3 linked regions of the Oryzias latipes genome follow. The protein of the gene in region 1 purifies or fractionates together with the protein of each later gene. This does not show direct contact. Links are inferred from orthologs where the notes say so. Each region holds a gene or a part of one and is shown in the gene's direction. Other genes may lie near its edges. The genes, in order: gars, glutamine--fructose-6-phosphate aminotransferase [isomerizing] 1 and iars.

Region 1 (3,414 bases):
AGGGACATCTAGTGGATCGATGAAGTGCAGAATGTTTCTGTTGCGTTTGAATAGAAACTGGATTTTCCTGTCTGATTCAGGGAGTGATCAATAATTCAGTCTTGGGATATTTTATTGGGAGGATCTACCTCTACCTGACTAAAGTCGGCGTTGCCAAAGACAAGTTGCGTTTCAGACAGCACATGGACAATGAGATGGCTCACTACGCCTGCGACTGCTGGGACGCTGAAACCAAAACCTCATATGTAAGTCTGGTTCCTCTCTGCTTCTGGGTTTGTGTTCATAATGATCCTCAAAGGGATGTTTGTCGCCCACAGGGCTGGATTGAAATCGTGGGCTGTGCTGACCGCTCATGTTATGATTTGAAGTGTCACGCGCGAGCCACAAAGGTCCCTCTGGTTGCTGAGAAGCTTCTTAAAGAACCCATATCCTTGAGCTAAAGCAGCAAATAACAAAGCAAAACCAAAATCTGGTTTCATTTTGTGGCTTTAGTTGCTCCTTAACGCTTCTACACAAAACTGTAAATGTTGTTCAGTTTGAGCCTAACAAAGGAGCCATCGGGAAGATGTACAAGAAGGACGCCAAGCTGGTTATGGAGTATCTCGCTGTGTGTGACGAATGCTTCATCACTGAGCAGGAGCAGCTGCTGAATGAAACCGGGTAAATCTCTGTCTGTTCAGCTTTTCATAGAACTCTTTATTCTGGTAGATTATTGAAATGATTTTAATAAAATGCATTTATAGATGACTAATGTGAATCATTGTAAAATAAAGCAGTGATCCCAAACCCCTTGGGCGGTGGACCTGCACAAGTCCATTAGACAGTTGGTACCGGACTGAAGAGAGAAGAAAATACATGACCTACATTTTTTTAGCTTTATTTATAATCTGATTCTGAATGAAGTTTTATTTTGGAAAACAGATGGGTTTTCTTCACCACATCCGTCTCATTCTTAAAGCATGTAAAGTCGCTCTCGTGTCAACAATTCATCTGCTATCGACCGTTAAATTGTTCCCCCAAGCTAGCAAAGTTGACAAAAACAAACGTATATGGTGAGTCTCTTCTCGCAGACAAGAGCCAGTTAGAAAACAGAGAAAGGCAAAAACCAGGAATCTTTACTTCACATATGGATGTCTTATGACAGTTGTTCCCACACACCACAATAAACATGCATAATATTCAGCAACCAGCTGTCTAACTTTAGGAGTATTCTACTAATAAAGTTTCTTCATGTTCATTATTATATTTAGAAAATACCAGTTTTGGGAAACTTATTTTCTTTTTGTATTTGTCTGTCGCTTCTAAAAGAGGTTGGTGTCTGTTTTTTGTTTTTTTTTTGTTTCCACACAGTTATAGGTTAATGGAAAATCTATATCACATTTTAATTGGTTTCTATACAAAATCTAGTTTACAAATACCGGTAGATGCAGATATTTTACAACAAAATGAAGACAAACTTTAATCTCAAAAGTTGAGGGGAAACTGGGAGCTTAAGAAAAAAGAGACTCTAACTTCAGCCTCGTACAGAGCGGTCCGTAAAAAAATCTTGGTGTATTTTAGCTGTTATTTGTTCCTAAATTTAAACCATTTTTGACGCAGAGAGTTCAACATTGAGACGGAAGGAAAGACGTTCAAACTCACAAAGGACATGGTGAGCGTGAGGCGGCAGCAGAAGACTCTGCATGGTGAGGAAGACTCCACAGAAAGCGTAGAGTCCACAATGCTTCTGCCACTTTTTTTTTTAACCGCCGTGCTGCATTTCTGTTTTTGTGCAGTGGAGGAAGTTGTTCCCAACGTCATCGAGCCGTCCTTCGGCATCGGCAGGATCATGTACACCATCTTTGAGCATACATTCCACATCAGAGAAGGAGATGAGCAGAGAACGGTAAGTTTAGACGTTGTGACTAAATGTAACATCAAAGGTTGATTGCTATTGTCGGGTTTCCATTTTCTCTGTTGCAGTACTTTAGCTTTCCTGCTACTGTAGCTCCGTACAAATGTTCGGTTCTACCTCTCAGCCCAAATCCGGAATTTATGCCCTTTGTGAGGGAATTATGTAAGTTTCCACAACTAAAGTCCCCTTTTTTTTATCTTTAGTGCTTTTGCAGTGATCCTGTTTTATTTTTTTTAAATCTATAGCCGAGGCAATGACCAAAAATGGGGTGTCCCATAAGGTGGATGACTCATCTGGCTCCATTGGAAGGCGCTACGCCAGGACAGATGAGATTGGCGTGGCTTTTGGTATCACCATCGACTTTGACACCGTGAACAAGACCCCCCACACGGCCACTCTGAGGGACCGGGATTCGATGAGGCAAATACGAGCTGAGGTACCGTTAAGATTTAGCTTCATGAAACACACAAGACTGCATTGATACTAATTATCTTAAGCCTTTTTGTTGTTCAATTGAACCCCCCACCTTATCAACACTTCCATCTTCTTCCTCAGGTCAGCGAGCTTCCTGTAATAGTTCGAGATTTGGCCAGCGGCACGATGACCTGGGCAGAAGTGGAGAGCAAGTTTCCCATCTTTGAGGGGCAAGAGACCAGCAAGAAGGAGGCATCTGAAGAGTAGAGTTCACTTTGTGCGAACATCCACAGACTCGATGCCTCATGTCAACACAGAGCACTGCAGCCGTGTTGTGATCAGCTGTGTTTTACGTCACAACGTCGCATATTCATCTAATCTGAGAAACGAGGCGAAGCTTAGACTTCTGTCGTCGGCACTGCATCCACTCTGTTGTAAAAGGGACAAAATCAAATCAGGTTGATGAGAACTTCCACTTGTTCCAGTTTTAAAGTGAAATGAAGCTTCAATAAAAGCAGTTGGTGCTTAGTGGACGTGTCTCTGGTTTGTGTTTGGACCCTTCTGACTGAAACCGTTAAATACTCTCTGTGACGATCACAAACACGGAAACTGCATTCAAACTGTGGGATTCAAATAAAAGTATTTCTAAAGTTTTAACACTTAATGTTGATCTAATGAAACCATTGGCTCCGTTTTCCACACCATTTAAATGACAAGACCAAAAATTTTCCAACTAAGAGGTCTTCAGGATACCTTTGAAGGATCAGTCAATAGTAAATACCTGATTAAACGGACTTATATTGTAGGGGTGGCGATGAAACGAAGGTGTTTCAGTTCAAGTTTGCTGCCATGCAGCTGTATCGTCTCAAGTTCTGTGAAAGGAAGAAATGATATAAAACATTTTTTAAACTCAATTTGACTTCAGATTTTTCTCTGTAAATATGTTTTAAAAAACAATGAGACAACAAATATTCCCCAAAAGTAATGGAATTTTTTTTTTTTTATTTAGGCTAAAAATCACATTCAATGACAGAAGAAAAAATACTGAAAGCACAAAGAAAAGGGAAATACAAAACAGTAAGAAAAGCCCCCAGACAGCAGCTGAA
Region 2 (4,082 bases), on another chromosome or scaffold:
AAGGATGTTGATAGAGGGTGTGCTGACGGGGAGCTTCAGGATCTTCGAGCTTTTTTTTTTTTTTTTTTTTTTTTTTTTGGTTTTTTTTTTTTTTTTTTTTTTTTTTTTTTTTTTTTTTTTTTTTTTTTTTTCAAACTTTATTGAATGTAAAAAATCAATACAAAATAATGTTCAACATTGAACAACGAAGAAACAAGCCAGGGGGTTTATACATTTTATGCATAAAGATTGAAACTAATACACAGATCTAATGTTTTGATGGCGTTCTTATTATCAGAGTTTCTTATTGTCTTAATGTATTGTTTGAACTCATTAATAAAGACTGAGAAATGAGGGGTATGATTCGTTACTTTTGATTTATGAATGTGCCATTTGCATAAAAACAACAAAAGGTTAATGAGGTACAACTGTTCTTTTTTATGAGATGGACAGTGGGTGATGCCAAACATAATATTTTCTAAGTACAGGCGGAAGTCAGGGTCAATGTGGGCAGAAATGAAATGACAAACTTTAGACCAGAGAGTGGTGGAAAAGGGACATGACCAAAATAAATGTACAGTATCTTCAGGGTATTCTTGACAAAAAGAGCAAGTAACATCAATATCTTCCTTGAACCTTTGTAGATATAGTTTGGTTGGATAGAATTTATGGATTAGTTTGAATGAGATTTCTTTCACTTTATTGGTTAAAAAGTATTTTGCTGGTAAATTCCAAATCTTTTTCCATTCTAAATGATAAACTAAATTATTCCAAAAAGAAACTACGTAAGGAATGGAGACAACATCCTTCTGGAAGAGTGAGCGTATACGGCGATTTGTGTTACGTGAAGAAGAAAAACAAATTTGGCCTATTTCTATTTTAGTCGGATCAATTGGCAATAAATTTGGACTTTGCAATGATGAACTTTTGAATAATGTAATAATACATTTAGGAATTGCTTTCAAAACAAAGTTAAATTCGGTTTTTGGTATTTTGATGGAGTATTTGAAGCAGAATTCTTCATGTGACATTAAAGCTCCGTTTGAATTAAACAGCTGATGAACCAAAAGGATGTTTTACTTCGAGCTTTTCCACTCACACATTGCATCCTGATGCCACGTCACTAACGTTTACGTAGATGCTGTTGCTTGACTGACGGCCTGCTCCACCAATAAGAAAACACTTTGGAGAAAGGAGATTCGTTGTCAATCAAAGAGGGGTGGGCTTTAGTGATAGGCGTTCCGAGCAACCCAAGAGCCGAGTAGTTGATCCTGACAAGCAACCTGAAGACATGTGTGGTGAGTTGTGTGATGATTTTTTTTTGTAATTCAGTTTTTATATGATCTGGATAGAAATATTTGTCTATCGCTGTTAGTCACACTGTTACTAGGAAGAAAAATCAATCAACAGTTTTAGACCAAAGGATTTGACATTAGGCTAGCTTGGGTGGCTACCTTGATTAGCGAACATGATGATGCTGCAGCTAAATTTACAAGTCAGCTTTTAGTTTATCCGTTAATCATTATATTTTTATTGATTCAGGTGTCGTGGAAATATAATTTTAACTGTAAGATTAAATGTGTTGTTGATTACTGCCTGTGTCTGTGTGTGTGTGAAGCTACAGCGTTTACGTCCACAGAAACATTTCCTCCTGGTTTGCTAATGTCATTAAACACGTAATGTTTTTCATTTATTTATCTAAACGCTAAAGGATAAACAGACATTTATATATCAAAACCGTAATAGAAGTATTTAGACTAATATAAACGAAACCAGACCATGGCTCGGGGTTTTTCCGGACATTAGTCCTATTCTTTGAGTTAGTTAGTAATAAAGGTATATTTAGTATGACATAAGAGGCTAGTGTTGAATGAATTAAAGACATGAATTTGTAGATTTTTCTTTGTTGGTAAATCAAATGCCAGGATTCTCAGTCGCCTGATAGCTGACGTATGCCTCTCATCACCTGTCAGCACAATCTGAGAATACTAACCAGACCAGAGAAACTAGTTAGTGTGCTTTTCTATTATAATGTTGTTTTGGTTAATGGTTACTTTTAGTAAATCTTTGTTTCTCCAAAAGCACTGCTGCAACTTCCCTCACTGCCTTCTAATATTTGCTGTTCTGAATGAAGGCTCTGTTCTGACATTTTGGATGTGTGATTTTCCTATTGGTCATTTATGGTTTCAGTGTGTGTGTGCGTGTGTGTGCGCGTGTGTGTGTCAGCTGGAGCGCCAGATGTTTGCAGATCAACTATGAAACTTTAAACTTTCAATCTCGCTTTGTGTTTGTGTGTTACTGTAGCTTAACCACGTTAATACATGTGTAGCAATCAGGTAACGGGGGATTCCAGACATGAGTTTAGCTTTTCTTTTTTACATGTTTGAGGCTTTTTTCAATGTGATACAACTCCACCAACACTATTCCCATAAAGTGCAGAGTTGCAAATCATTTGAGTGTACTTACTAAGCTGGCATGCATTTGTAAATAAAGCGAAAACATTGTGGTTGCTATTTAGGCTTTCCTTAATTATCATTTTATTTCCAACAGCCAGGCTTTTGGACTGAATAGTTTCAGAGTTCCTAGTGACAAAATGCTTTTTTCTTTCTCCCCTGAGCTGATGTCTGAAATGCTCCTCAGTATTTGACAGTCTGTTGCAGAAATACTGGCAAAAACACATAACACACCCGTCTTAAGCCAGTACTAATACAGCACAGTTATGACTCAGTTTGGCTTTGATCGTGATGAGAATAATATACGGATGTTTTTTGCAGAACAACAGAGTAATATTTATTTAAATCAAATATACAGTGCCTAACAATTATTCTCAAATAAAAACATAGAATAAAACTTTCTTTCTTTTTAGGAATCTTTGCCTATCTCAACTACCACGTGCCAAGGACACGGCGTGAGATCCTTGAGATCCTCATCAAAGGTCTCCAACGTCTGGAATACAGAGGCTACGACTCTGCTGGTGAGACAGATCCTAGACTAAATTGCAGCTGTTTTTATCTTTTGTTTAAGTTCATCTCTATTTTTTTCTCACTCACAGAAAAGTTATTTAAAGTAACTCAATTCATTCTGGCGCTATTGTTAAATTCTAAAGAAAAAAAACAAAATTACAATACTATTTTATTAAATTATTTATCTTCTAAGTATTAAAAAAACACAATTTCATCTTTTAGTTTGGGCAAATGAATGTGTTAAGCTCCTAGTAAAGCTAGAAGAGTATCTGTACAAAATGCCAGGACATTTCCATAGCTTTGGCGTTTAGTTCTTACGGCTTCATCTCATTTTGCTTTTCTCTGCATAAACTGGTCAGGTGTGGGAATTGATGGAGGAAACAATAAGGAGTGGGAGTCCAACGCAAAGTCCATCCACTTGATCAAACAACGTGGAAAAGTGAAAGCTCTCGATGAGGAGATCCACAGTAAGACGAGATCAAACTGCAGAAAGTGTTTTTGTGATTTCTTTTTTTTCCACTCTATTTGCTTTGGCGCCATGTCACATGTTAAACATGACGATTGTGCTCGTTGTTTTAGAAGAGCAGGATATTGACCTGGATGTGGAGTTTGATGTTCACCTTGGCATCGCTCACACTCGCTGGGCAACGCACGGTGTGCCGAGCCCAATGAACAGTCATCCACAGAGGTCTGACAAGAACAACGGTGGGTTTTGTTTAGAATTAGAAAATAAAGCGCATAAATCTTCTCTAAACCGTTCATTCATATTAAAGTTGATAGATGTGTTTCTTCTTTGCAGAGTTCATTGTGATTCACAATGGAATCATCACCAACTATAAAGACCTAAAGAAATTCCTGGTGAGTTTTTTTGTTGTTGTTGTTTTTCATTTCTTCATCTGATATGTCTTCAGAATTAACCTTTTTTTTTTAATCTCCATAGGAGAGCAAAGGCTATGAGTTTGAGTCAGAGACTGACACGGAGTCTATTGCCAAGCTGACAAAGTACATGTATGACAACCGGGAGAATGATGACCTAAGTTTTGCCACATTGGTTGAACGTGTTATCCAGCAACTGGTAGGGACCCACCAATATGCACCAGCATAACCAAGACAACTAAAGACAGCCCCCTCTTTAATGTG
Region 3 (3,653 bases), on another chromosome or scaffold:
TGGTGCCATCAGATGAGATAACTGTGCATTACCACTGTCAGCCAGAGGGGGAGTACTTGGCTTCTGTAATCCAAGCCCACACTGATTTTATTCTGGGAACTACAAAGGCTCCACTACTCCCATATCCTGTTCCAAAGAGTGCCAGCATCATCATAGCAGAAACTACGCAGGTACGAGTGGATCCCTTCAAGACAAGTTTGTGCTTTTTGAAGCTTGATTCAGGCCACAACATGGAGAGACAGAAAAACGATAAAAATGGCCTTCTCTCTTTTACCAACTTGTCAATAACTTTTTGGGGCATGTGTGTGTGTTTTTTCCAGCTTAAGGGCTCAGACTTGGAGTTAACTATCGTGAAGGGATCTTCAGTCCATCAAGCTTCACTAAATGGACCCGCATGCGCTTATGTCAACGCCCGGGTGAAGGTCGGCAACAGAGAACTAGGTAGGAAAGGTGCAGCGTCCATGTCCTACAAAAGCAATGACAAAAAAAAACCATTTCATTTGAAATCAAAGCAAAGCCAAACTAATAATGAGAAACGTACCATAGCTGTTCTGACAGTGTTCAGTTTTCCTTTAATGAAATCATTCTGTTTTTTTTCATTTGTTACCTCTTTTTTTTACGTCAGAGGGGGTAATTCTGCTGGAGAATCCAAAGGGGGATAACAGATTAGACTTGGATCGACTGCAGACAGTGTGCAGCAGCGTCTTTGGAACCAACAATAGTCGGCTTCGATTCTTCAGCGGCGGAACTGGTAACAGACATTTCAGCTCCTGTAAAAGAGAGAACCCCTAATTCTCCCCCAGCACTAATACTTTCTTCAAAATAGAATCTTTTCAGAGCATTCTATTCTAATGTGTTTTTTGTTTGTTTTTTTACACATGTACATTATAGAGCTGACTAGTAAAATGGATCTTCTGGCTCTCAGTGGCAAAACTTTAGCCGTGACTTCAGGCCCCTCCTCTCCTGGCCCCGCCCCTACTGCCAACACCCCGCTGTGCCCCTATGTGAACCTCGTTCTGTGCAACGCACAGCCAGCTGGTGAGAAATGCATATGTAACCAATCATGCAAAACAAGTCCTTTCACTTTTTCCGCTCTTTTTGGTCATTATAAGCATTAAACCATTGAAATTATTTTTAAAGTGTGTTATTATAATCAAGGATACAAAGAAAACAAAAAAACCCACTTCTTCGTTTGGAATAATCACATGGTGACTCAGATTCAAAGTCTTTGAGCAGGGTCGTTTTAACAAACAAATCTGCACACTTTGAAGAGTGGTCCTCCATTGCCATGGAGACGACACAGCAAGGGGAAGCTTAATTAGCATATTATGTGTTTCTTTTCAATTTTGGACTCAAATCCATCTTAGAAAGTTTCTTTTCAAAGGCAAATGCAGTACATTAAGCTCAGCTATGAAGCTGCTGACTCTTGCCTCATTGTTATGGTTGAGACATCAATGGTATGGATCTCTTCACATACCTCCTAGCTAAATCTGTGAGAAAAACCATTTCCCATTGTTTCCGTGTAATGAATTTTCTCCAGAGTGCCAGACTGGTGAGGTGGGCACGCTGTTGTTGATGAACCCAGTGGGCCACAATGCCCTCAACTACCCAGGCCTGCTGTCTGAGACCGGCAAAGTCTTTGGCCTCCGCAGCCGACGGCTGAAGCTCTACCTGGACCAGGACTTCACTGAAGGTATGATGAGGGTTTTACATAGTGGGTTCTGTGGAGATCCGGTTATTGATCATTTTAACTTTAACTGCATGTTTGTAACTCTAAACAATTTTTTAAACTTTGACTAAGGGACAAAACTGAATATTTAGATTTAAATTCATATTCAACTGTTTTTATAGAGCACTTTTCCTGTGACAGAACACCTCAAAGGGATTTACATAAAATAAAGAAATGGTAGTAAAAATACATTACTGTTTGGTAACATGTGACACAACTGACTGTAGAGGGGTTGAATGAAAACTTAGGTTTATTTTTTCATTTTTGCTGGTAAAAGATTAATAAAAAATTTGAAGTCAATGTACATGTAGATAGTGATGTTTGGGAATGTTTGGGATTTTCAGTTCAAAACATCACAAATGCAGCATAAATTCTCTTTTTTTTGTTCTCCCCTCTCTGCCTTTCAGTCCTTAAAGTTAACGCTGTGGCTAACATGTAGGAATATGGACAGTACTTCGTGAATCACTCCTCATTTTTGACCCTAAAATGACGATGGAGATTTCTATCATTTTTAGTTAGTATTAATGAGCAAAATTCAGGTTTCACATTAGAATGTAATGCTTCTGTAAGGAACTTCATGGTCTTATTAGAGAGTCAAACAGCTTGTAGCTCTACACGCACGTAAAGGATTTGAACAACGAGTCGAACTCAGTCACTCTTAGTCAGATACATTAAGAACTCATACAAAGGCTTCTGATTCTGAACTTTACACTGTTTCCTTTTCTCAATTTTGAACAAGCCGAACCTTGATCAATGATAACTGCTCAAAAGTTTTTCTTTCAAACCCTGCAGGGATTGAAAGATGAAGTGATGATCAGAAAATTGACAGAAGTCTTTTTATTTTTTAAATGATGTTTTTAAATCAGCTAAACCTTTCCCATCAAAAGTGTTTTTTAAATTTCATGGAAGCAGCCATTTTCAAATGAGCAGAAAAAGGCCCTCTACTGCCCCTAGTGGAATGATGGTGAACTACAGGGTAGAAAGCACGGACCGAGTTATATACCGTTTATCTTCCAATAGTGGCCTGTCTCTAATTAACACAGATCTCCAATAAACGCCGGGTGTAACAAGTGCTCGTTACTTTAGACGCCGGTCTCTAATAGTGGCCGGGCTCTTTTAACCCTTGTGCTATCTTAGATGACCCCACCCTTCACAAATCATTGAAGAAAAAAGGTTCAGCGCACTGTCTAGTGGGTCTAGATGACCCAACTCCCAATGTTAAAGTGTCTAGGATAGCACAAGTGTTACGAGCCCCATCCCTCCTGCCCCGTGCACAGTTGTGCAGACGCCTTGATGTCTGTGGTATTGTTAGCAGGTGTCGCGATCAGGTAGTGATGGCCAAGAAATACTCGTTCCATTTAGAAACTTCGTGTGCCAAAGAACACTCTGGTGAAGAATCTTCACGACATTTTGGGGTGGATCCTAAACGTTTCAGAGAATGGCGCAAACAGATAGGTAATATCGAGAAGACGGCTGCAGAAACAAGAGGTGCAAAAGAGGGTGAGCGACAAATTAGAACTGCTTTTAACACGGATTACTGAGCAAAGACGGAAAAGTGCGCGTCTCCAGGGAAACGATCCGCATGAAAGCGAAGAGGATCTTTGATACGGAGATTGATGCTTCAAAAAGAAAAGAAACATTCACAGCAAGAGCTATTCAGATCATAAGACAATGTTCTCATCATTTCAATAAATCCTGAAATGTTCATCTGGTGCTTTTGTGGTGAAATTCTTGGCCGAATTTCACCACAAAATGAACTCATTAGCCTTCACCGTTCTGACTGTGATGGAATAAACACCGGTTTCCAATAGTCTCTAATAAACACCGGGCTGGCTGCCAAATTTTGGCAATAAACGGCGGGGCTACTATAGGAAGATATACGGTACAATGAATTTGGATCATGCTAATGAGATCGGGGTCTCTG

What was found.
Region 2: the proteins of gars (region 1) and glutamine--fructose-6-phosphate aminotransferase [isomerizing] 1 fractionate together in Homo sapiens (co-fractionation; 3 studies listed by BioGRID, with this or other methods). This does not show direct contact. The link is inferred for Oryzias latipes from reciprocal best matches to the Homo sapiens genes GARS1 and GFPT1.
Region 3: the proteins of gars (region 1) and iars fractionate together in Homo sapiens (co-fractionation; 3 studies listed by BioGRID). This does not show direct contact. The link is inferred for Oryzias latipes from reciprocal best matches to the Homo sapiens genes GARS1 and IARS1.

Annotation. Positions count from the first base shown.
Region 1 is NC_019878.2:18,054,103-18,057,516, reverse strand, and holds the end of gars (glycine--tRNA ligase), read left to right. Parts: intron 1-80; coding exon 81-245; intron 246-317; coding exon 318-425; intron 426-514; coding exon 515-660; intron 661-1,599; coding exon 1,600-1,685; intron 1,686-1,775; coding exon 1,776-1,885; intron 1,886-1,962; coding exon 1,963-2,056; intron 2,057-2,139; coding exon 2,140-2,330; intron 2,331-2,449; coding exon 2,450-2,575; 3' UTR 2,576-2,839; downstream 2,840-3,414. UniProt on the Homo sapiens protein: Catalyzes the ATP-dependent ligation of glycine to the 3'-end of its cognate tRNA, via the formation of an aminoacyl-adenylate intermediate (Gly-AMP).
Region 2 is NC_019867.2:17,109,406-17,113,487, reverse strand, and holds the start of glutamine--fructose-6-phosphate aminotransferase [isomerizing] 1, read left to right. Parts: upstream 1-1,172; 5' UTR 1,173-1,270; coding exon 1,271-1,277; intron 1,278-2,845; coding exon 2,846-2,953; intron 2,954-3,301; coding exon 3,302-3,409; intron 3,410-3,521; coding exon 3,522-3,647; intron 3,648-3,741; coding exon 3,742-3,800; intron 3,801-3,882; coding exon 3,883-4,017; intron 4,018-4,082.
Region 3 is NC_019863.2:9,833,285-9,836,937, reverse strand, and holds part of iars (isoleucine--tRNA ligase, cytoplasmic), read left to right. Parts: coding exon 1-170; intron 171-320; coding exon 321-441; intron 442-625; coding exon 626-751; intron 752-891; coding exon 892-1,038; intron 1,039-1,540; coding exon 1,541-1,693; intron 1,694-3,653. UniProt on the Homo sapiens protein: Catalyzes the specific attachment of an amino acid to its cognate tRNA in a 2 step reaction: the amino acid (AA) is first activated by ATP to form AA-AMP and then transferred to the acceptor end of the tRNA.